Linked DNA regions of Stegostoma tigrinum. The protein of the gene in region 1 purifies or fractionates together with the protein of each later gene. This does not show direct contact. Links are inferred from orthologs where the notes say so. Each region holds a gene or a part of one and is shown in the gene's direction. Other genes may lie near its edges.

Region 1 (7,264 bases):
AATGAAGTTGGCTGGAAAGTTGCAGACATGAGGCAGAGCTTCTCTTTGCCCATGGAAAAGCTTCTCCCAATGCATGACTGGGCATGTGTTTAGTGCTCAAATTTGGAATCTCAAATCTTAATTTTAATTGCATGGAAAATGGAAAATAGTAAGACATAAGAAGTGGTGTACACTTTGGTTTGTGCCATTGGGAATAGCATGTTGTTGACAAAATTGCCTCTCAGAATCTACTCATCATCATGATTTCAGACACTGCTGCCACAATCTCCAAGCAAATCCTCTATTGATCCGGCTTACTAGCAAGCAAACTGCAGAACAGGTCTCAACCACCTTCATTTTCCCTTAAAGTGAAATTGCCAAAACATCATAATTTTATAAACGTCAGAATTAATATAAAAGATCATTTGAAAATTCCAGGATTCAGTTCTGGAACTGTGTACTAATCAGTTATTCTTAGGACATTCCCTGTTTCCTCTATCAGCAGACACTTGGCCGAGGACCTGCCTTTGAACTGAGCACAAATGGCCATACCTGCATATCAGATGTTTCTGAAATCCATCAATTAGTCTTCAATATGTGTTGCTTGCAAACAAACTAACAGGTCAAAATATTATTTATAATCAACTTCCATAACAGAGGTAAAACGAGAATCGCTAGAAGCAATGTAGGTCCTAGGAAAACCGATCATTGTAATTGCCAATAAAAATCATAAGGTGATGGATATTCTGAATAATCCATTATTAATTAGATTGGAAATGGTGCATGTCACTGTTGTTCGGGTTGATGGGAGAAATAACAGAACATGAAACAAAAATCACAGAATCGTCACAGCTCAGGAAGTGGCCATTTGGCCATTCATGGATAGACTGGCTCCCTAGAAGAGCATTACAACTTGGTGGCATTCTTCTACCACACCCCCCCACTCCCTGAATATTGCTTATATTCAATTATCACCCAAGGTCATCTCAAATGCCTCAACTGAAGCTGCCTCCACCAGTGTTCCAGACCATTACTGTTTGATACACAAGAAAGTCTGTTGGTCACATCACACTTGCTTTTGAAAATTACCTAATAACTGCACCCTCCTATCTCATCAGCTGGAAGTTTCTCCCTATCTACTCTGTCCAGATCAGCAATCCTTACATCTGCTGCCAGAAACATGTGTAAATCTTTAAACAAAGTTAGGCTGTAGATCAGCCATGACCTTGTCAAATTTTGCTCTTGTTATGATTTAGTGGCTTTGTAACGCTGAAGTACATTCTCTCATTTTACTAGCTAGATAGTAAAAGTAGTGCCTCTATAACTGGACTTTATTTCACAAGAGGATTCTACACATGTTCTTGGGTGATCTCACATTATTTCATTGGCAAATGTATTTCTTAACCTATTTTGTGCTTATTCCTATGTTCCAAGAGATCCAGAATAATTCCGTTTGGTAAGTGGATATTTGCTGGAGCATAACAATAATGATACTTTGATTTATTTCAAATTGTCCAGTGAATAATAGGATTAATTCGGTGCTTCCTGCAGCCTTAACTCCTTATCTGTGGATGGCTGAATACAAATACATTCAGTTTGACTTCCTGCAAAAGATTTGTTTAAATTGCACATGTTGATATGGATTAAACTTGAAAGATCTGAGGAGAGGGACACTACAGATGTTGAGGTTAAGGACAGATGTTTGATTACTCTAGGTCAAGTCAGTATAAGGAGTGGCGGTGGCGGGGGGTGGGGGGGGAGTGTTGGGTATTCTAAAAGGCATAAGGGCGGACAAGTCCCCAGGCCCAGACGGGATCTATCCCAGGTTTCTGAGGGACGTGAGAGAGGAAATAGCTAGGGCCTTAACAGATATCTTTGCAGCATCCTTGATCACGGGTGAGGTCCTGAAGGACTGGAGAATTGCTAATGCTGTCCCCTTGTTTAAGAAGGGTCCCAAGGATAATCCACGTAATTATAGACTGGTGAGCCTGACGTCAGTGGTGAGGAAGCTGCTGGAGAAGATATTGAGGGATAGGATCTATTTACATTTGGAAGAAAATGGGCTTACTAGTGATAGGCAGCATGGTTTTGTGCAGGGAAGGTCATGTCTTACCAATTTGATAGAATTTTTTGAGGAAGTGACAAAGTTGATAGATAATGCAAGGGCTGTAGATGCCATATGCATGGACTTCAGTAAGGCATTTGGTAAGGTTCCCCATGGTAGGCTGATGGAGAAAGTGAAGTTGCACAGGGTCCAGGGTGTACTGGCTAGATGGATAGAAAACTGGCTGGACAACAACAGACAGAGAGTTACAGTGGAAGGGAGTTTCTCAAAATGGAGAACTGTGACCAGTGGTGTCCCACAGGGATCCGTGTTGGGGCCACTGTTGTTTGTGATATACATAAATGATCTGGAGGAAAGTATAGATGGTCTGATTAGCAAGTTTGCAGATGACACTAAGATTGGTGGGATAGCAGATAGTGAACGGGTCTGTCAGAGAATGCAGCAGAATACAGATAGATTGGAGAAATGGCAGACGGAGTTCAATCCAGGCAAATGCGAGGTGATGCATTTTGAAAGAGTCAATTCAAGGCTGAACTATACGGTAAATGGAAATGTCCTGGGGAAACTTCATGCACAGAGAGATCTGGGTGCTCAGGTCCATTGTACCCCTGAAGGTGGCAATGCAGGTCGAAGGTCCATTGTACCCTGAAGGTGGCAACGAAGGTCGATAGAGTGATCAAGGAGGCATATGGCATGCTTTCATTCATCGTACAGGGTATTGAGTACAAGAGTTGCAGGTCATGCTACAGTTGTATAGGACTTTGGGTCGACCAAATTTGGAATACTGCCTACAGTTCTGGTCGCCAACTTACCAAAAGGACGTGGATGCTTTGGAGAGGGTGCAGAGGAGCTCAACAGGATGTTGCCTGGTATGGAGAGCACTAGCTTTGAAAAGAGGTTGAGTAAATTAGGATTATTTAGATTAGAAAGATGGGGGTTGAGGGGGCAACTGTTTGAGGTCCACAAAATAATGAGAGGTGGATACAAGAAGCTTCTTCCCAGAGTGGGGGGACTTAATTACCAGGGGTCACGATTTCAAGGTGAGAAGGAGATATGGGAAATTCTTTACACAGAGGGTGGTGAGTGCCCAGAATGCGTTGCCAGCAGAGGTGGTAGAGACAGGCACGAGAGCATCATTTACAATGTGCCTAGACAGATACATGAATGGGCAGGGAGCAGAGGGATACAGATCCTTGGAACATAGGCGACAGGTTTAGATAGAGGATATGGATCAGCGCAGGCTTGGAGGACTGAAGGGCCTGTTCCTGTGCTGTATTGTTCTTTGATCCTGCTTCTTACTAAGGTCCAAATACGGCTGGTTTAGAAGAAAACTCACTCACTAGTTCCAATTAGACATTGATCCTGAGACCATACAGCTATTTCTATTTTTTTCACTCGTGGGGCACAGGTGTTGCTGGTTGGCCAGCATTTATTTCCATTCCCTAGCTACCCTTGAGAAGGTAACGGTGAGCCGCTGCAGTCCACGTTCCGTCTGCTGATCCACAGTGCTCTTACGACGGGAATTCTAGGGGGAAAAGAAAACATTTGCCCATCCAGCCTTTCTGCTATTCAATACCATCATGGCTAATCAGGCTATGCTCTTAACTTACCCACCTGCTTCCATAACACTCGACTCCCTCGTACGTGGTTACAACTCGCTGGAGCAACACCAAGAAAATCGAGCCCCGTCACTCATGAAGTCTTCACAAAAGTTTTGATAAGCGTCTTTCGATTCGCGGTGATCGTCTCCATTGCTTCACAGACATGCACACTCAAAGCCAACATGTGCTGGACGGTGTATTTTTCTGAGGGGCGGGGGTAAAGGAGGCGGGAGTGACTCGCTATCCTTCACCATGATAAACTTTACCTTGCAAGCCAGCGGCTGCCGCTTCCTTCCTCCCGCTCACCCCACGGAACCAACACTGCTTCTGACAGCCGAAAATGGTCGTTGCTCGGCAACCACCTCAGCCATACGCACGCGCAGACTATCCTGAGAGCTTGCAGAAGGAGAATGGAAGGCTTGAGGAGAAGAGGCGATGTGAGGGGCGGGGCGGGTGAAGGACCGGCGCTGTTCGGGACGAAGGAGTGCGTACGTGCGCGCGGGTGGTTGGAGATGATCGGTGGGTCGTGCACGCGCGCTGGTTGGAAACGAGGCGCAGTCTGGTTTGTTCGACGGCCGGGGGGGTGGGGGGATTAGTACCATGACATACAGTAACAAAAAAAATCAGATCTGTAAGAGAGACTTCAGTTTACAGACATTAAATAAGGTCTCCAGAAAATTAAACGTTCTCCTTTCGCCTGTTTCTTTCCCCGGCTGTTGCGGTCATCGTCCGAAGCAGGTGCGTGATTTTTTTTATTATGTATTTGTCAAAGTTTGGAGCGTGAAGTGCATTCGTAGTGAAAAGTTTCTCTGCCTCGCTGTGCTGTCTGTCCACTAATGATATGGTCGCTAATACGAATTGATCGCCTTCCGTTTCGCTGTGGAGTGAGCAGTGTGTGGGTGGTGGAGGCCGGGACCGGGGCCTCGGTTAAAGCGAAGGAGGAAGCAGTAACCACAAGGAAACCTCAGATTTACCCAGTGGCCGCCCTAAACCTTCATAGATCTGACACAATAAATCACAGGGAAATCACCTGCACCGTGACAGACTCAGTGCCCTGACCCCTCAAAGACACCAACTCCATCCAACCACCTCACAGTTCACCCATCGCCTCTTGTCCGCTTCCACCCCCTCAATTCAGCCTCTAACTCTCATAAAACTGCTAATGCCTCCCAGTCCCTAACCTCCACACAACCCCATTATCCTCTCACCCACTCATACTCATCCCAACCGTGACACACAACCTCCAAATCGCCCCCCTTGATGCAGTCTTATTGGCCCCACACAACAGTCTCCCCCCTCAATCCACACAGCCGCATACTCCACAACTCCTATCTTTGTCCATTTCCCCGCACCATGCTCAAATGCATCCCTCCTCTACCCTCCCAAACATACTTGTTTTGTATTGACCGATATGGTTTGAAGGCTGGAGAAAGGAGTAGATTTTCTCTGTATACGGAATGATCATTTTCCTCTTTGCGTTGTTGTTTCATCTATGGAGCCACAGGGGTTTTTCTTTGCTCATTTGCATTATCTACGGTTAAATTTGTATTTGTGAAAGAAGTTATTGCTCTCCTGAAAATTGTAATTGCTAATTTCATGCAGGGCCAATAATTTACATTTTGGTTTACAAAAACCTTGCCTTATTAAAACAGCTGGAAATTTTTACTGATCAGGAATGAATTGCTTGTCAAGTTATTACATGACCCAGGGACACTGGTACACAATTTTTTTTTTACATTGCAAGTTTGTTATTTTATTTTCCCCCAAGATGCCTCCCTATGTAGTCAGCTTGATAGGGAGCTCCTCCTCACTGTGGACTTAAATTCTTGGCCAATCTCTGCCACACTTGGCCCACTGTAAGTTCCCCTGACTGTAATAGTAGACAATTAGCTCTAATGTCAAGGTAATTGCTTGTTTCAATTGCTATTCCCACATCCCCAGCCACAGGTTCACACTGGATTCCCTCCAGAAGCATGGAATTGTTATAGCACAGAAAGAGGCCATTTGGTCCAGCATGCATGCACTTTCCCTTCAAATGAGTGTCATAACTAGCCAATGTCCTACTTTTCCCCATTATTTTATCTTCGAGTGCTGCGTATTCCTTCAAATTCCTGAAAATTCTTGATTAACACTGCACTTCAACACTGAACAGCACAGGTTTATGTCGCAAGATGCAAATACTGTACTTGTGATTTGTTGCTCTGTTGCTTATGTTTCACAGTAATTATGATCAGTGTCAGTCTCCCCCTAATGCTGCTTTGGAGGGTCTCAGTCTCTTCTGTGTTTTGTTTTTGTTCTGGTTTGTCAGCATTATGTAAAGTCTGGTTACTACCCAGCAATGTACCACCTTGGACTGGCAGATACGTTGTTACTCCCAGGTCATGTGATGGCCTCTAACTTTGCCATCATCTTTACACTTCAACTGATCTATAGACCTCCTGGATCCTCACTCCAGCAGGAATTCCTGAGCTTTCTGTGATGCTGCTTCATTCTTTTGCACACTATTCCAAATTTGAAGAAGGGTTCATCAGTACTCTCTACTGATTCGATCAACTTGTGTCAGCTGTACCCCACTACAAGAATTATGGCTTTGACTTATGACTGCTATTATTACCTCAGCATTCCCTGTTTGTTCAAAAACAAAGTTGCTGGAAAAGCTCAGCAGGTCTGGCAGCATCTGTGTGGGAGAAAACAGAGTTAAAGTTTCGGGTCCGGTGACCCTTCCTCGGAACTGGACCCTAAATGTTAACTCTGTTTTCTCCTTCACAGATGCTGCCAGGTCTGCTGAGCTTTTCCAGCAACTTTGTTTTTGTTCCTGATTTTTCAGCAGTTCCTTTCATTTTTATTCCCTATTTGTTGCTGTTACATACGAGCTAACTAACAATACATAACCTGCTGACATGACAGAAGCTTTCCCAATATTCATTTGCATGTGTTCTTTACTTGATTGCTCAGTTGTGCACCCAGTGCTTCTTTCTACTTTGTTGTTTCCTTTTGTCTTTAAATTTTTTTTCTCTTTGCCAAACCTATACACTGTTCGTCTGTTATTAGACCTCCTTTCATTTCTGCTCTTTCAGGTACTCTGCCTTTCCCAGACCATACCTCAACCCTTCAGATGTCCCTATTCTTCTGCTGGCATCCCAGACTTGACTCCATCTGAGGTTAGCCAGCAATTTTTCTGTGTGCCTAACCTCCCATTTTTAAAAGGCTGCATCAATGCTATCATAGCCTCATAAGCAATGAACTCAGACTCGTCAACCTCAGTGCAGTCTTGCTAACTCCTTCACTCACCCAACATACTGGTTGGGAGTTGGTCTCACCGATTTCCTTTTTGTCCAACTTGCCTTGCCTGGTTCTTTGTGACAATAGACAATAGACAGTAGGTGCTGGAGTAGGCCATTTGGCCCTTCGAGCCAGCACTACCATTCATTATGATCATGGCTGATCATCCACAATCAGTATCCCCTTCCTGCCTTATCCCCATAACCCTTGATTCCACTATCTTTAAGAGCTCTATCCATCTCTTTCTTGAAAGTATCCAGAGTCTTGGCCTCCACTGCCTTCTGGCATATATCCACCACTCTCTGGGTGAAGAAATTTTTCCTCAACTCTGTTCTAA
Region 2 (6,943 bases), on another chromosome or scaffold:
GTTTTGTTTTGCATTAGTGAATGCTTCTAAGGCCACAAAAAATGGCAGGTGGTCTGCAAAAAATCCTAGCTATTGGCGAGAACTGTAGTCTTTATCTGATTACTGTGTGGAAAATGAATAATTTTGTTTTAAATTTCTCTTTGATGGAATTGATGACGAAACAGAAGGAAAGCCACTCAATCCATTTTGAGCCTGTGCTGGCTCTTTCATAGAACTATCAAATTTGATTACTAACTCTGATCTCTTTGTTTGGAAGTTTAATTTTGATTCAAAATATCCTCAGTCAGTGCATTCCTAATCACTGTTTGCCACACTAACTAAATATTTACTCCTCTTAAAGTTAACCTTTCAAATCTCTGCTCTCTGGTTACTGATCATCTTGCCATTGAAAGGAGTTTCTTTTTTAGTTACACTATAAGCACGTCTATCACATCTCCCCATAGCCTCCTGTTTGCAAGATAATAAAATGTGAGGCTGGACGAACACAGCAGGCCAAGCAGCATCTCAGGAGCACAAAAGCTGACGTTTCGGGCCTAGACCCTTCATCAGAGAGCTCTAGGGTCTAGGCCCGAAACGTCAGCTTTTGTGCTCCTGAGATGCTGCTTGGCCTGCTGTGTTTGTCCAGCCTCACATTTTATTATCTTGGAATCTCCAGCATCTGCAGTTCCCATTATCTCTGATACTATTTTAGCCTCCTGTTTGCAATCTGCTTTACTGAGGTCGTTTGCCTTTGGATGAGTTAGGCTGAATGGCCTGTTTATATGTTGTAAAGTTGACACCAGGTTCCTCTCCATTCTCCTTCTCCCTGAAGTCTTCACATCCTTCCTAATAGTTTTATGTGCAGAATTGGATGCAGTTCCCTAGCTGAAACCTAATGATTGTTTTCAAACCGTGTTCTTGCTAACCTCCCTGACAGTCAATTTCCAAGACTCCACAGCATAAAGCTGAAAACAAAATTTATTTGAATAAAACCAAACTCCACGCTGTGCGGTTCACCACCAACTGTGCTTGCTATTGCTTCTTTATTTTTGGCTATCAATTCATCAGACAGTTGGAAGATTATTCCTGTTTTCTTTGGAAATGGTGACATTTTCAGTTCACATTTGAGTTCAACAGTTGAGGTGAAACTTTGTGCTTTTGTTATCAACAGATATGTTTATTCATAGCTGGAAAAATAGTTTCATCTTTGGTCCAGAAATACACCCAACTGCAGTGAGTTTTTTTTAAAAAATGGGTTCCAAATGTGTTTTGGATTAGAAGATTAGTGTCATTACAAGTTCATCCAAGTTTTGGATGATCTCGTTCAAAAAAAGGTCCTTTTTTGGTTGTGCCTTTTTAAATATGGATTATGCTACAAAGTATTAGTATGACGTGTGTTCCCTACCAAAATGCTTGATTTTTGGCTTGTATTCTATTTCTGTAGTGAGAACCGCTTGTTATGATGTTAGTGGATTTGGGAGATGGAGCTTTTGATACTGTCACTAAAGAAATAGCATTTACTAGCAGACTGCCTGATCTTTGTATGCCCACTCCTTTTTTTTTTACAAAAACCTGTTTGAGCGTAGGGTTCAATTTTGTGTTCATAGAACATAGAACAATATAGCGCAGAACAGGCCCTTCAATCCTCTGTTGCGCCGACCTGTGAAGTAATCTAAGCCCATTCCCCTACACTATCCCATCATCCATCTGCTTATCCAAGGACTGTTTAAATGCCCCTAATGTGGCTGAGTTTAGCTATATTGGCAGGCAGGGTGTTCCACATCCTTGGCACTGAGTAAAGAACCTGCCTCTGATATCTGTCTTAAATCTATCACCCCTCAATTTGTAGCTATGCCCTCTTGTACAAGCTGAAGTCGTCATCCTCGGAAAAAGACTGTCACGGTCCACCCTATCTAATCCTCTGATCATCTTGTATGTCTCTATTAAATCCCCTCTTAGCCTCCTTCTCTCAAATGAGAACAGACCCAAGTCCCTCAGCCTTTCTTCATGGGGCCTGTGCTCCAGACCAGGCAACATCCTGGTAAATCTCCTCTGCACTTTTTCCAGTGCTTTCACATCCTCCCTGTAATGGGGCGACCAGAACTGCATGCAGTATTCCAAATGAGGCCGCACCAGCGTTTTGTACAGTTGCAGCATGACACCACAGCTCCGGAACTCAATCCCTCTACCAATAAAACCGAACACTCCATAAGCGTTCTTAACAGCACTATCAACCTGGGTGGCAACTTTCAGGGATCTATGTACATGGACACCAAGATCCCTCTACACACTCACTCACTACCAAGCATCTCTAGGTATTTTAATTGTGTCTGCATGCCATGGTTCCGAGTTGAAATGCAGATCAACCATGATCTTAGTTAAATAGTGGAACCGGCTTGAGAGGACAGAATAGCCACCCCCTGTTCCTCGTGCATAAATGAAATAGGCTGGGCAAGGCTCTACTTCCAAATCCATTGGAAACTCACAAATTTCTGCAAGCTTTCTATCAGCCACACATATAATAAAGATCATTTTAATGAAATATTGTCCTAAAACAGCTCCAACCTGTTTTTTTTTCCCTCCTTTTTGTGGTACAATTTTAAAAGTACAACTAAGGAAAGCCATGCATTATTCTGTTGTCAGTTCTCCCAGTTTAACAAAATCACTGAGCTACCTGTTTTGTTTAAATTTTGGTAGCCTTCTGCTTTCCAGAGTGTTTAATGAAGTCTGGCCAACTTGGGACCAAGGCAGCATATTAATGTGTAAATTGTGCAGAAATACAATTGTTTGTAGCAGTAGCTTATAAAGTAAGGTGCTGAAAGATGTGGAAGCTGGTGAGGAACCTAATCAAACATGGCCTAGCAGTAGCACTTCCTTCTGAGGAAGGGTCACCAAGCCTGAAACATTTAACTCTTTGGTTTTTCCTTCACAGATGCTGCCAGACCTGCTGGGCTTTACCAGCAACTTTTTGTTTTTGTTCCTGATTTACAGCATCCACGGTTATTTTGGTTTTAATGGCTTAGCAGTTGCTATATAAGTAGGAAAAGGAGGGGGCTAATCAGACCTCTTTGGGCCTAACATTCAGCAAGATCACGGTTTATCTGTATCGTAACACCATCCACTTGCCCTGTTCTGCACCTCCTTGATAACCTTCTCTTGAAATCTCTGCTTTTGAAATTTTTGATTGATCCACTTTTTGGCCCACTTTGGGGTGGGGGCACGCAGTGGGGGGGAAAGAGGGATTCCACCTTTTTGTATACACCACATCGGGTGACCACAAACCAAACCAAACCAAACCACTACCGCCGCAAGAGTTGAGGTTGATACTCCTTAACCTGTAACCAGCTTTCTTCTGATTTGTCAAGGTATCTTGTTTTTGAACTGAGCCTGAAGTGAAATTTTACAGGCTAAGTTTCAGGTGTCTAATAGAAAGTTTGTTTATTTTTGTTTCTGGAAATTCTTTCTGAGCTGAAAGCAAACTGGATTTGTTTGCAAGCCTGAATCAACCAAGTGGACAATGAATGGTTAATGTGGAGCCCTGTCTCATTCCTCCAGTTCGCAGGCTTAATCCCACTTGTTGTAACACTGAGTGTTTGTTTCTTTTTCATAACAGTGGATGTAAGAAAAAAACAACTTCCTTTTTGAAGTTAATGGCTAGTAGAAAACACATACATACTTTTCAAAATTGGATGAGATTAGCATTACTCTTCCATTCTTGTGCAGTATCGCCCTACTTAGTATGTACAATGTAAAATGTGCTAAATTCAGTGTGGCGGCCAAGGTTCTGATTGTGACTGACTTGTGTCCTGAATGGGCTGTTTTGCCTTCCCAGCACAATTGTAACAGGCAGGATTTGCGCTACATGTAGGGCAGCGATGTATTAAGCTTGCATAATCTAGCTTGATGGTTTCTGGAAATGGATGATTCTCGGTGCGAGGACTGACTAGTTGTAGGCGATTGCAACCGTGTAGTGTTGCATCTCAGTATGAAGTCTATCCAAACGCTGCAGCGAAAATGGGCCAATTTAGTGCATTCGTTCAAGCTCTACAGTGGTCTTGTGAGTCTTTCTAAGCTACTGTCACTGTTTTTCATTAATGCTTGATGGTCAGTCCCCGTAGTTTGTTTCTTTTCAATCTTGTAATTGTTCACAGTTCGCTTCTCCTGGTAGTTGGAAAATTCAGACTAACAATTGCATGCTGTTGTAGTTTAGTTTAAATTAATGTAATGATCTCGAAGAGATTAATTGTTGGGATGGCAACTAATTTTTTTCAACACCAGCTGTATGTATCATGTAAAGCTTTTAGTCAAATAATTCTTAATCTGTGTTAATATTTTCAGCTATTTTCTGGAAACTGTCCAGTGTGCATGTTTGAATTGTGAACCCCTTGTACCTGTTGAGCTGTGGTATTGTTTTGGGAATGACAAAACACGAGGCAACCATTTGGTTTGTTGTGCCTACGTTTACCCAGGGCCATGAAGAACTCTTCCCTTTTTTTTTCTGAAAGTTACTATTGAATCTGAACAATGCTTTGGAGACCCAAAGCAAAACCAATCTCCTCTTGCTATTTTTCCGTTTTATCTTAAAACAAATCTGCTTAATGAACCTCCTACTGGAAACAGAGTTGAGGCTTTCTAATATCATCTTGGCACATAAGATTCATCTAAAAGCAAACTAAATCTTAAAGTAATTATTTTATTTCTCATCCCTTATCCCTTATTTTGTCCATTCTACTCGGCTGCAGTGCTTCTCAAAACTATGCACGGTAAAAGAGTGGTATTTTATGAAAATGCTTTGTTGCTGCATAATTGTTCATCAGGGAGGCCACATTTCTGGGCCTTTCAGCTCCTTTTTCGTTCGAAAATTGTCCTTCCTTAAAAAGGAAAGGCACATAACCAAGAACTAAGGACTATAAAATGTGAAAATTACAAGTAGGTCAGCGAACATCTGAAAGTGGAATTCTAACCTCCAGTAAGTGGTTGACATAACTACCGTGAATGCATTTAAAGGGAAACTAAATATACAAGTGAACTGAGAAAGAAATAGAAGGATATATTGATGAGTTGGGAGAAGCATGATCACTAGCATACAATCAGTTCAGCTAAATGGCCTAAATTTGTGCTACACCATTCTCTATAACAGAAGGACTGTGATATCAGTGACTTCTGTTCACCTTTTCCCTCTCTCTTCCCTTCTTTCTTTAAATTGAAGCACAGTTTCTGTGTTTTGGTGATTTTCTTGAAATGTTTGAAAGTACACTTTGCAGTTGTATGGCTCTCATCTGAGGTAGAAAATGTTATACCTTCCACCTGTAGTCTCCTCTTTGGAACTCTGGTACTAAATATTAATTAAGTAATAGATCTATTAGGGAATTTGAGGAAAAGCTTTGTTACCCTAAGAATGTGTGTTCGGGTATAGTGAGGTGTATACTACAAGCTACTGAAACAACACCAGAGGAGGAAGGGAATAGATGAGTATGCTGATAGTGAGCTGAGACTCGTATGGAGCATAAAGCATTTATTTGGAACACTTTAGATTGAATGGCCTGTTTCAGTACTGGAAAACTTTTGAAGTAATTCTGAAGAGCACTTGCCCAAAAGGTTCCCCCATTTTTTCCTTCTCAACTGATTGAAATGCTCGTCCTATAAAAATGCTACACTTGCGAACAGTGGATTTTAACTAAGCAGGTGAGATTTATGTGACTTGAGGGAGCATGGTCATGAGAACTGAGTTTAGTGAGCAAGTCTTTGTTTATTTTTATATTTTTCTTGTATTTTCTCCCCCATCCTTTTTTTGTTTTGTTTTTAAACAATGATATAAATGCAAGCTGTGAAACACCATTATTTCCCCCCTCCCCCACCATGGGAATCCTAGAACTCTTACTACAGGAGCTATTTATTGACCATCTTCATAGACTCCCTAGAGTCTGGAAGAGACCGTTCAGCCCATCAAGTTCACAGCAAACCTCCAAAGAGTGTCTGTCTGACACCACCCTCAAATCTATCCTTGGAACTTTATTTGCCATGACTAATCCACCTAGCCCGCACATCCCTGGACACTATATGGGCCAATTTTTTGCATGGCTAATCCACGTAACCTACACATCTTTAGACTGAGAGGAAAACGGATCATGGGTGGTGGTGGGGGTGGGGGGGTGGGGGGTGGGGGGGGATGTGGGGAGCGGTGGGAAGAGGTGGGCAGCAAGCGTGCAGACATGGGGAGAATGTGTGTGGAGTTTGCACAGTTGCTCAGGGCTAGAATCCTAGTTCCTTGACACTGAGGCAGTGGTGCTTACTACTGAACCACCATGCTGCTGGTGTTTTGATTCTATTTACTGTCCTATGTACTGAAACACAGTGAAAAGTTTTGTTTCAGTGGTACAGGCAGATCATAGTAAGCAAACAATGTACAGATCAAAAATACTTAGACAGATACCTTCAGGTTATATTGCACAGGGTGTGTACTAGGTGAGATCAACATTTAGAGTTGATCACTCTTGTTTAGTAAGATCAGTGTTATTTGAGGTTAGAGTGTCCATTCATCTAGTAATAGCCAGGCAGAAACTGTTCCTAAACCTGCTGGTGTGTGTGTTCAGGCTTCTGTATCTTCCTGACAGAAGAGGTTGTAGGAGATCATTGCTAGGGTGCCGTGGGTCTTTGTTGGCAGCCTTTGTGCAGCAGTGAGCCATGTAAATGAAGTCTGTAGATGCAAGCTTGGTTTCTGTGATGGTCTGGGCTGTGCACACCACCTTCTGTGGTTTCTTATTGTCCTGGGCAGAGCAGTTCCAATACCAGACCATTATGCACTTGGACAGTATGCTTTCAATGGTGCATTGGTAGAAGTTGGTGAGGGACCTTTTATGGACATGCTAAATTTCCTCATGCAACTCAGGGGGGGAAAAAAAAAGAGGCATTGTTGTGCCTCCTTGACCATCTATATGGGAAGTCCAGGACAGGTTGTCAGTTA
Region 3 (7,480 bases), on another chromosome or scaffold:
GGTGGGAGAAGTGAATAGAGTGCATAGAGACAGTGCCCAGAGAGAGACAGAGTGAGACACAGAGAATGTGTGTGAGAGAGAGAGAGAAATAAAAGGGACAGACAAACAGATTGTTGAAAGTAAGCTGAGAGGCTCCAGGCTGATAGCGAAGCCTACCTCTTGATCAAATATCCTCAAAAATCTAGTTCCAAAAGATCTCTATATATTCCTGCAAAGTGGACTATTTTCATTTTTCCAACGAAAACAGAAACTATTTGAGAAACTCAGCAGGTCTGGCAGCATCTATGGAGAGAAAGGAGAGTTAATGTTTTGCGTTCAGTGACCCTTCTCCAGAACTCCCATTACACTAACACCATCTTGCTGCTTCATCAGCAACTTTATCAGAATCCTGCAACTCCTGTCATCAGCCACGTAGACTAACATAAACTTTTAACTCACAAGTCAAGACAACTCTGATTTGCGTGACTTTTATTAAACACTAAACTCTTTAGTATAAATTTATTCTTAGTTAGAAAACTCTTCCTTTCTTATTTCTTTCTTGGATGCTTTGTGTGCCTGAAGTTGAAAAGGCTGCCCTAGGTTTGAAATTAATAGAACAACACTCTTGATTTAAACCTAAACAGAGTTGCTGTGCGAGTCGCTTTCAAAAAATCTTCACAAATCGGAGTTTAGGAAAAAATTATAGCCTATTCGAAATTAAACCAACCTGCTTACACACAGAACGTGATGAGAATACAAGAGATCAATTTGCCACTTACCATCATCCATAACAATTGTGTTAGGATCAGATTCAACCGAGATGTTGGCTTATAAGGTTGGCTATGGTTAAGAATAGAAAAGCTGTACTATGATGAGGTTAGTTTGTCATTCTCATCAATGCAAATGGAAGGGTAGCTTTAGGATTAAAGGAATCTTATTGCACTTAGAAAAAGTTTACCATTTTTGGGGAAAAAAAAGCAGTAATATTTGAGGAAGATGATCAGATTTTTGGAAAAGGTTTCATTGAAACTTTGTAAACTAATTTGCTTTGAGAAAGCACAATGAATTAAACAGATAAATCATATGCAAATATATGCTAGTAGATATCATACACGAAACTAAGGAACTGAAAATTATGTGATTACTAAGAATGTAAGCTAAAGAACCCTGAGATGCATCCTGTGCAGATGCAAATTAATTACATCAATCAAAAATGTGAAAAAGATAAACCAATTTTAGACCAGATAGTCTCAGATCTGTTGCTGGCAAACTGTTTGAATCATTCAGGATAGGGTATATGAAACTTCTCAGCAGTCCGAGATAACCTGCAAGGGTTTGTAAAGAGTAGATCATCTGAATCTGGCTAAAATGAAACTAAATGATAAATTGTTAGGAAGTACATATTCAAACAGAGTTGGGGTTGAGATATATAGATCATTAAAATGTCATAAACAGGTTTCAAAATTAATCAAAATTGCTAACAAAATGTGTTTTACAACCTGAAATTTAGAATAAAACAATGTTAAAGTTATCCTTCAGCTACAAAACTCTGTTTTAGTCCATACTGGAGTAATGTGAACAGTTGTGAGTACTGCATCTTTTGAAGTGTAAAATGGCCTTGAAAGTAGTGCAGCAATGTTTTACAAGAATTTAACATTAACTCTGTTAATCTCCACAGATGTTACACACCAATTAGACTAGATTAGATTAGATTCTCTGCAGTGTGGAAACAGGCCCTTCGGCCCAACAAGTCCACACCACCCCTTGGAGCATCCCACCCAGACCCATTCCCCTATAACCCACACACCCCTGAACACTATGGCAATTTAGCATGGCCGATCAACCTAGCCTGCACATCTTTGGACTGTGGGAGGAAACCGGAGCACCCGGAGGAAACCCACGCAGACACGGGGAGAATGTGTAAACTCTGCACAGGGAGTTGCCCGAGGCTGGAATCAAACCTGGGTCTCTGGTGCTGTGAGGCTGCAGTGCTAACCACTGAGCCACTGTGCCGGCCCCCTTGCCTGTGGAGTATTTTCAGTATTATCTGCGTCTTTTTCACTTTTCCAGACTCTGGGGTGTATTGCACCCTTTCCAAGGTGTCTATGTGCATAAGCCATACAAGGTGGCTGAACAGAAGAAAAGAATAGTTAATCGTGCATTCAGTATGCTAGCATTCCAATATTCCAATACAATATTCCAGTTCTGAAGAAAGGTTACTAGAACCAAATTGTTAACTCTACTTTCTCTGCACAGATGCTGTCAGACCTGCTGAGTTTCTTCAACAATTTCTTATTTTGTTCCAGATTTCCAGCATCCGCAGTTTTTTTAAATACAATATTTGAGGTTTTATTAATCGGGGCATTGAGTACAAGAACACAGATGTCACATTAAATATTTGTAAAAACACTGGTTTGACCTCAAATGAAGTACTGCATCTAGTTTTGGGCATCACACCTTAGGGAAAGATATAAAGAAAATTAGGGATAGTGCATGGGGTTTATGAGAATAGTTTCAGGAATGAGGAATTTAATCTATAAAGCTATATTATAGAGGTTGGGACTATTTTCCTATCAGATAGAAGAATTCAAGACAAAATATTTTGACTCAACAGAAGATCCAGAATGAGGGCATACAGATTTAAAGTAATTAGTAAAAGAAGCAAAAGATACGAAGAAAATCATTTTCACTAAGTGGTTATTATCTGGAATGCAATGGTGGAAACTGTAGTGGAGGTAGGTTCAATTCAGGCACTCAAAAGTGAATATATTGATTACTTGAAAAAGAAGGTTATGCAGGTCTGTGGGGAGTGGGCAGGAGAATGGCATCGAATGAGATGCTCATTCGAAAAGTGGTGCAGACACGATGGGCAGATGGCCTCCTTCTGCACTGAAACAATTCTGTGATATTTTTCTAACCATTTGTGGGATGTGGGCGTAACTGACTGGCCAGCATTTCTTGCCTTTCCTTAGTTGCCCTTGAGAAGGTGGTGTTGAGCTATCTTCTTGAACCGCTGCAGTCCATCAGCTTTGGTTGACCCACAGTGCTTTTAGAGAAGGAATTCCAGGACTTTGACCCAGCAACAGTGAAGGAACGGCAATATATTTCCAAGTCGGGATGGTGGGTGTCTTGGAGGGGAACTTGGAAGTGGTGGTCTTCCCATACGTCTGCTGCCCTTGTCCTTCTAGATGGAAGTGGCTGTGGGTTTGGAAGGTGCTGTCTGATGATCTTTCGTGAATTTCTGCAGTGCATCTTGTAGATAGTACACACTGCTGCTACTGTGCAGTGGTGGAGGGAGTGGATGCTTGTGGGTGTAGTGCCAATCTAGCAGGCTGCTTTGTACTGGATGGTTGCAAGTTTCTTGAGTGTTGTTGGGGCTACACTCATCCAGGTAAGTGGGAAGTATTCCATCACTCTTCTGACTTGTGCTTTGCAGATGGTGGACAGGCTTTGAGCAGTCAGGAGGTGAGTTACTCAGTGCATAGTTCTAGCTTCTGACCTCCTCTTGTAACCACTGCTTTGATGTAGTGAGTCCAGTTGAGTTTATTCAGTAATTTGTTTTTGTTCTCCAAGAATAATCCGTAGACTCCAAATGTCAAATTACAAGGATTGATAACAGAAACCCAGGGTTGTATTCTTTGATATCTAGAAGGCTGTGTGGTGATTTAGTTGGAATTTGCAATGTATTCAGGAGAACAAATGTAGTGGGCATAGAGAATATAATTCCACTTGTGATGGAGTCAAGCGCTGGGGGTACCATATATAAATTGGAACCTGTCTTTCAGGAATAATACTGAGGAATTCTTGGACACACAAGGGTGGCAGAACAATGAAACTCTCCTCTACACATGTAAAATGAAGGTAATTATTTGTTAATTCCAAATCTGGGATTGATAGTTTCCTTCAGCAAAGTTATTAAGAACTCAAAAAAAATTGCAGATTCTGAAAATTTTACAGATTTACAGAAAATGCCAGAGAAGCCAGATCTGGCAGCATTCGTGGAAAGAGAAATAGTGTCATGAAATAAGACAGGGCAAAGATTGGTAAAAGGTGTTAAGTCACAGTCTAGTCACGATCTCCAGTGACAGAATGAGCTGGAAATGTTGAAAGATTTCCTCTCTACTCCTAGCTTCCTGACATCTTCTGTTCATCTACAATCGTGATATTTGACTTCGAAATTGGACAAAATTAGCAGGGTGACATTTGTCCACCTAATGTTGAGTAAGGTTTTACACTCCTTATCATTAACAGCATATTGTTAAAAATACAACTATTGTTTACATTTACTTAACACTCATGTGTGTTTATTATAAACACAATTTCGTGCTGTTAATAGGTGTATACGATGACCACTGGCTAGATGTGAAAAATTGAAGATGTGCAGCTCCAGGGCATGTTTTTTCAGATATATCTTATTTCCGTTGGATTAGTTGGATTTCCTGGAGTTTCTGCTGTCAGCCACATTTCTCTCCATTGTATTTTATGCCGCTCACATGGTGGATTTTCCTTCCGTTTCTGATTCCCAGCTTTCCACAGAGCACAAGGAACGGATATGGACACGAATCACAGTTCTCTTCTCTCCATTGCTGGTTTCGAATCAACAAGATTTTCTTAACTGTCGATCATCACCTAAAACAAGACTGTGAAGGGGAAAGCTGCCGTATAGCCCAGGGATGAAAATGATATAATGGCAACAAACCTTACCTACAAACTTTGGTCAGGAAGAAAATCAATTCCAGTTTTGGTAAGTTACTGAACACCGCAGACGGGGTGAAAGAAACGGCAGCACTCAGCTGAGTTACTGGCGTGGCACAAAATATCCCGAATGACTTCCGCACATTATTAAGAAACATTATTAATAATGTATATTTTTTTTTAAAAGTCGCCTCAGAACATGACGCGCAATACCTTTCTCTGACCGATCTCCAGAACCTTTAGAAATTTAGAGATTGGACCCATTACATCGATAATCAACTTCTTGTACGAGAAGTATTTGAAAACTTAAAAAAAAATAACCACAATATCATTTCGGAAATCTGAAAGTTCCAACTGAAGATTAATCGGTCAACTAGGATACTGACGCATACATTTAACATTTTAGGCGCTTTAAAGAAAACTCAGCATACTCTTTGATCTTGTAAATGAGTAGATAAAATCACTTTTAGAATTCTAAAAGAGATTGATGAAAAGAGAAACCTTGTCTAGCTTTGTCCTGGGGTTATGTCATGTCTACTTTATCCCTCCCTCTACACCCCCTCCCTTTCCACATTCAAATTGGTGGTGAAGTCGTTCGTAAATCCCGTGTGAATCCAGGCTGTTACAAAAATAAACTGCGATTAAGATCTCCATTTCGATCGCCAAGGGGCCAGTCAAACTCACTGCTGCTTTCATTCATGTTAAGGTCGGATTCGGTGTGAAATAAACCATGAGGTCTTCCACCTCCAGAATATCAACCTTCTCCTCCAGGGATTCATTATGGAACCGGTAAGCTAGGGGTTAACAGCACGACGCCAGCTCTCTCTCTCTCTTACAACATGATTCCCAATACTGTCCTTTCGAGAGCGAATCTGCCGTTGTTCGGATTCTCCTGGGTCAACCATGGAGATGGGCGGGAGACAGGGAGATAGGAAGACGGGCGGAGCGGGCCAGTTGACTGAGGAAGGGTCGCGGAATGTTGGGTGAAGGTGGGAAGGACAAATGTGTGCGCCACGGGACTTCCTGGTGAGACTGAACATTGCCAGAATGGTGGCACTTGCTTCACGATCCTGAGTGTTCTTTGGTTCAAGACATATTGAGGAGGAATACGCTAACCTGAGCATTGACCAACGATGCGAAGTTTCTGGTATCACACCAATGAATACATAAACCACCCCTTCAAACTAGTTTTTGTTTCTCTCTCATGTAAGACCTCCACAGATCTGGATCTTTTGAGAGATGACAGATTACTCCCAGACCCTTTCTCAACGACTCCCACCCCCAACAGACAAAACACCCACAAACCGCAAGCACCACTTCTATTCTACAAGGAATTTGCTGGGAAATAATCAACTTTGGAAGGAAATATCAAGGGAAAACAAGACAGCAGCTCCCCCCCCCCCTTTAAATTAGCCTGGGAACATATCTGTTGAAGATGCAGAGGGAAGCCTCGGTTTTCAGGGGGATTTGAATCGTGTGTGAGCTGATGAAATGTTAAAATGTTACTCTGACTCAGCATATAGACAATTCTCAGTTCACAATTTTACTTATCTACCTAATGTTGTTTATTCTTGGGCCTAAGCCGACTGGACGCAGCAGCAAAAAAAAACACACGCTTTGTCCTAGAAATTCCTTCATTTTGCATTATTTTAAAGCAGCTTTTACTGCCTAAATTATGAAGTAAAGGAATATGCGGCTTTGGTGGGGGAACGGTTGTTTGTTTTTTTGAGTTGCAAGAGGAGACCTGCACTAAAAACGAAAAAAAATGCAGCTGTTTGGCGGAAAGCTTTTCTCTTTTGAACAAATGATGATGTGGCAGTAGAACATATACGCACCCTTGAATTGCGTAGAACATCTTTAAGATTTATTGCTATTGTCCCTTGTTTAAAACCTGAAGGTGGCGCAATAGGCTCCATGTGATGGAATAAGAATAAGGGCTACAAACGACTGAAAGAATGTGCAGGGCCGTATTTTATGGTCAGCGGCGAATGCAGATTGATGCCGGCACTTACCTTTCTGTGAACTGCAAGTTCCTCTGATCTAACCATTTGAAAACCTGACGGGTCTCTTCAGGGGATATGGGTTCTTTGATTAAGGAGATAAGGTTCCTTGCATTGTTTGCAATCAAGTTGAAGAATTATTAATAAGTAGCACAGAGGAAGAATTAAGTGTCAGTTATATTTCAAAGAGAAAAATAATATTCGCAGAGATGTTGGCAATGAAGCAACGGCGCTCACCTCAGAGTACTCAAATAGTCGAAGGTAGCGATCTTGTATTTGGCAGATTTCCGATTCTTTGTGGCTGCTTAAATCTAGCATTAAGTCGACGGAATGATATTCAGTAACGGTGATGTGGACAAGCAGGGTAAATAGCCAATCATACTGCGGTATTCTCACAGATGGCAAAGTAGGAAGTTAGAGGCACTGATCGCCTTTTATTCTTAATTTGGATTTTCAGATGGAAAAATAAATGGCTGCGATTAGACCAGGCATGGCCCTAAAAGATCGTTGTTTTATTTAGAGGGTAGGGTTACATTAAAAGAAGTGGCGTTCTTTTCTACAATGGAGGAATGTAATCCTTTACCAAATTAAAATGAGCTTATAAGGGCCAGTAAGTATCAATGATTATGAAGTGTGTTTACCATTAGAGTTCCACTTACACATCAATCAATATGATTTTTGGCCAATAATTTTTACAGTTCAGGGGAAATCAACATTGTGGAATTTCTCATTAAGTCATTGATAGCTTAGGGATTGCTGACAGTTTCACCAACATTACTACTTCAAAATCTGGACCATATGTGTAA

The links.
Region 2: the proteins of arhgap12b (region 1) and tight junction protein ZO-2-like purify together in Homo sapiens (co-immunoprecipitation; 3 studies listed by BioGRID and IntAct, with this or other methods). This does not show direct contact. The link is inferred for Stegostoma tigrinum from reciprocal best matches to the Homo sapiens genes ARHGAP12 and TJP2.
Region 3: the proteins of arhgap12b (region 1) and arf-GAP with SH3 domain, ANK repeat and PH domain-containing protein 1-like purify together in Homo sapiens (co-immunoprecipitation; 3 studies listed by BioGRID and IntAct, with this or other methods). This does not show direct contact. The link is inferred for Stegostoma tigrinum from reciprocal best matches to the Homo sapiens genes ARHGAP12 and ASAP1.

Annotation. Positions count from the first base shown.
Region 1 is NC_081355.1:127,967,709-127,974,972, reverse strand, and holds the start of arhgap12b (rho GTPase-activating protein 12b), read left to right. Parts: upstream 1-4,174; 5' UTR 4,175-4,383; intron 4,384-7,264. UniProt on the Homo sapiens protein: GTPase activator for the Rho-type GTPases by converting them to an inactive GDP-bound state.
Region 2 is NC_081356.1:27,980,754-27,987,696, forward strand, and holds the start of tight junction protein ZO-2-like, read left to right. Parts: upstream 1-3,841; 5' UTR 3,842-3,964; coding exon 3,965-4,036; intron 4,037-6,943. UniProt on the Homo sapiens protein: Plays a role in tight junctions and adherens junctions. Acts as a positive regulator of RANKL-induced osteoclast differentiation, potentially via mediating downstream transcriptional activity.
Region 3 is NC_081358.1:50,931,442-50,938,921, reverse strand, and holds the start of arf-GAP with SH3 domain, ANK repeat and PH domain-containing protein 1-like, read left to right. Parts: upstream 1-4,411; 5' UTR 4,412-4,723; intron 4,724-5,361; exon of another isoform or gene 5,362-5,380; 5' UTR 5,381-5,404; coding exon 5,405-5,463; intron 5,464-7,480. UniProt on the Homo sapiens protein: Possesses phosphatidylinositol 4,5-bisphosphate-dependent GTPase-activating protein activity for ARF1 (ADP ribosylation factor 1) and ARF5 and a lesser activity towards ARF6.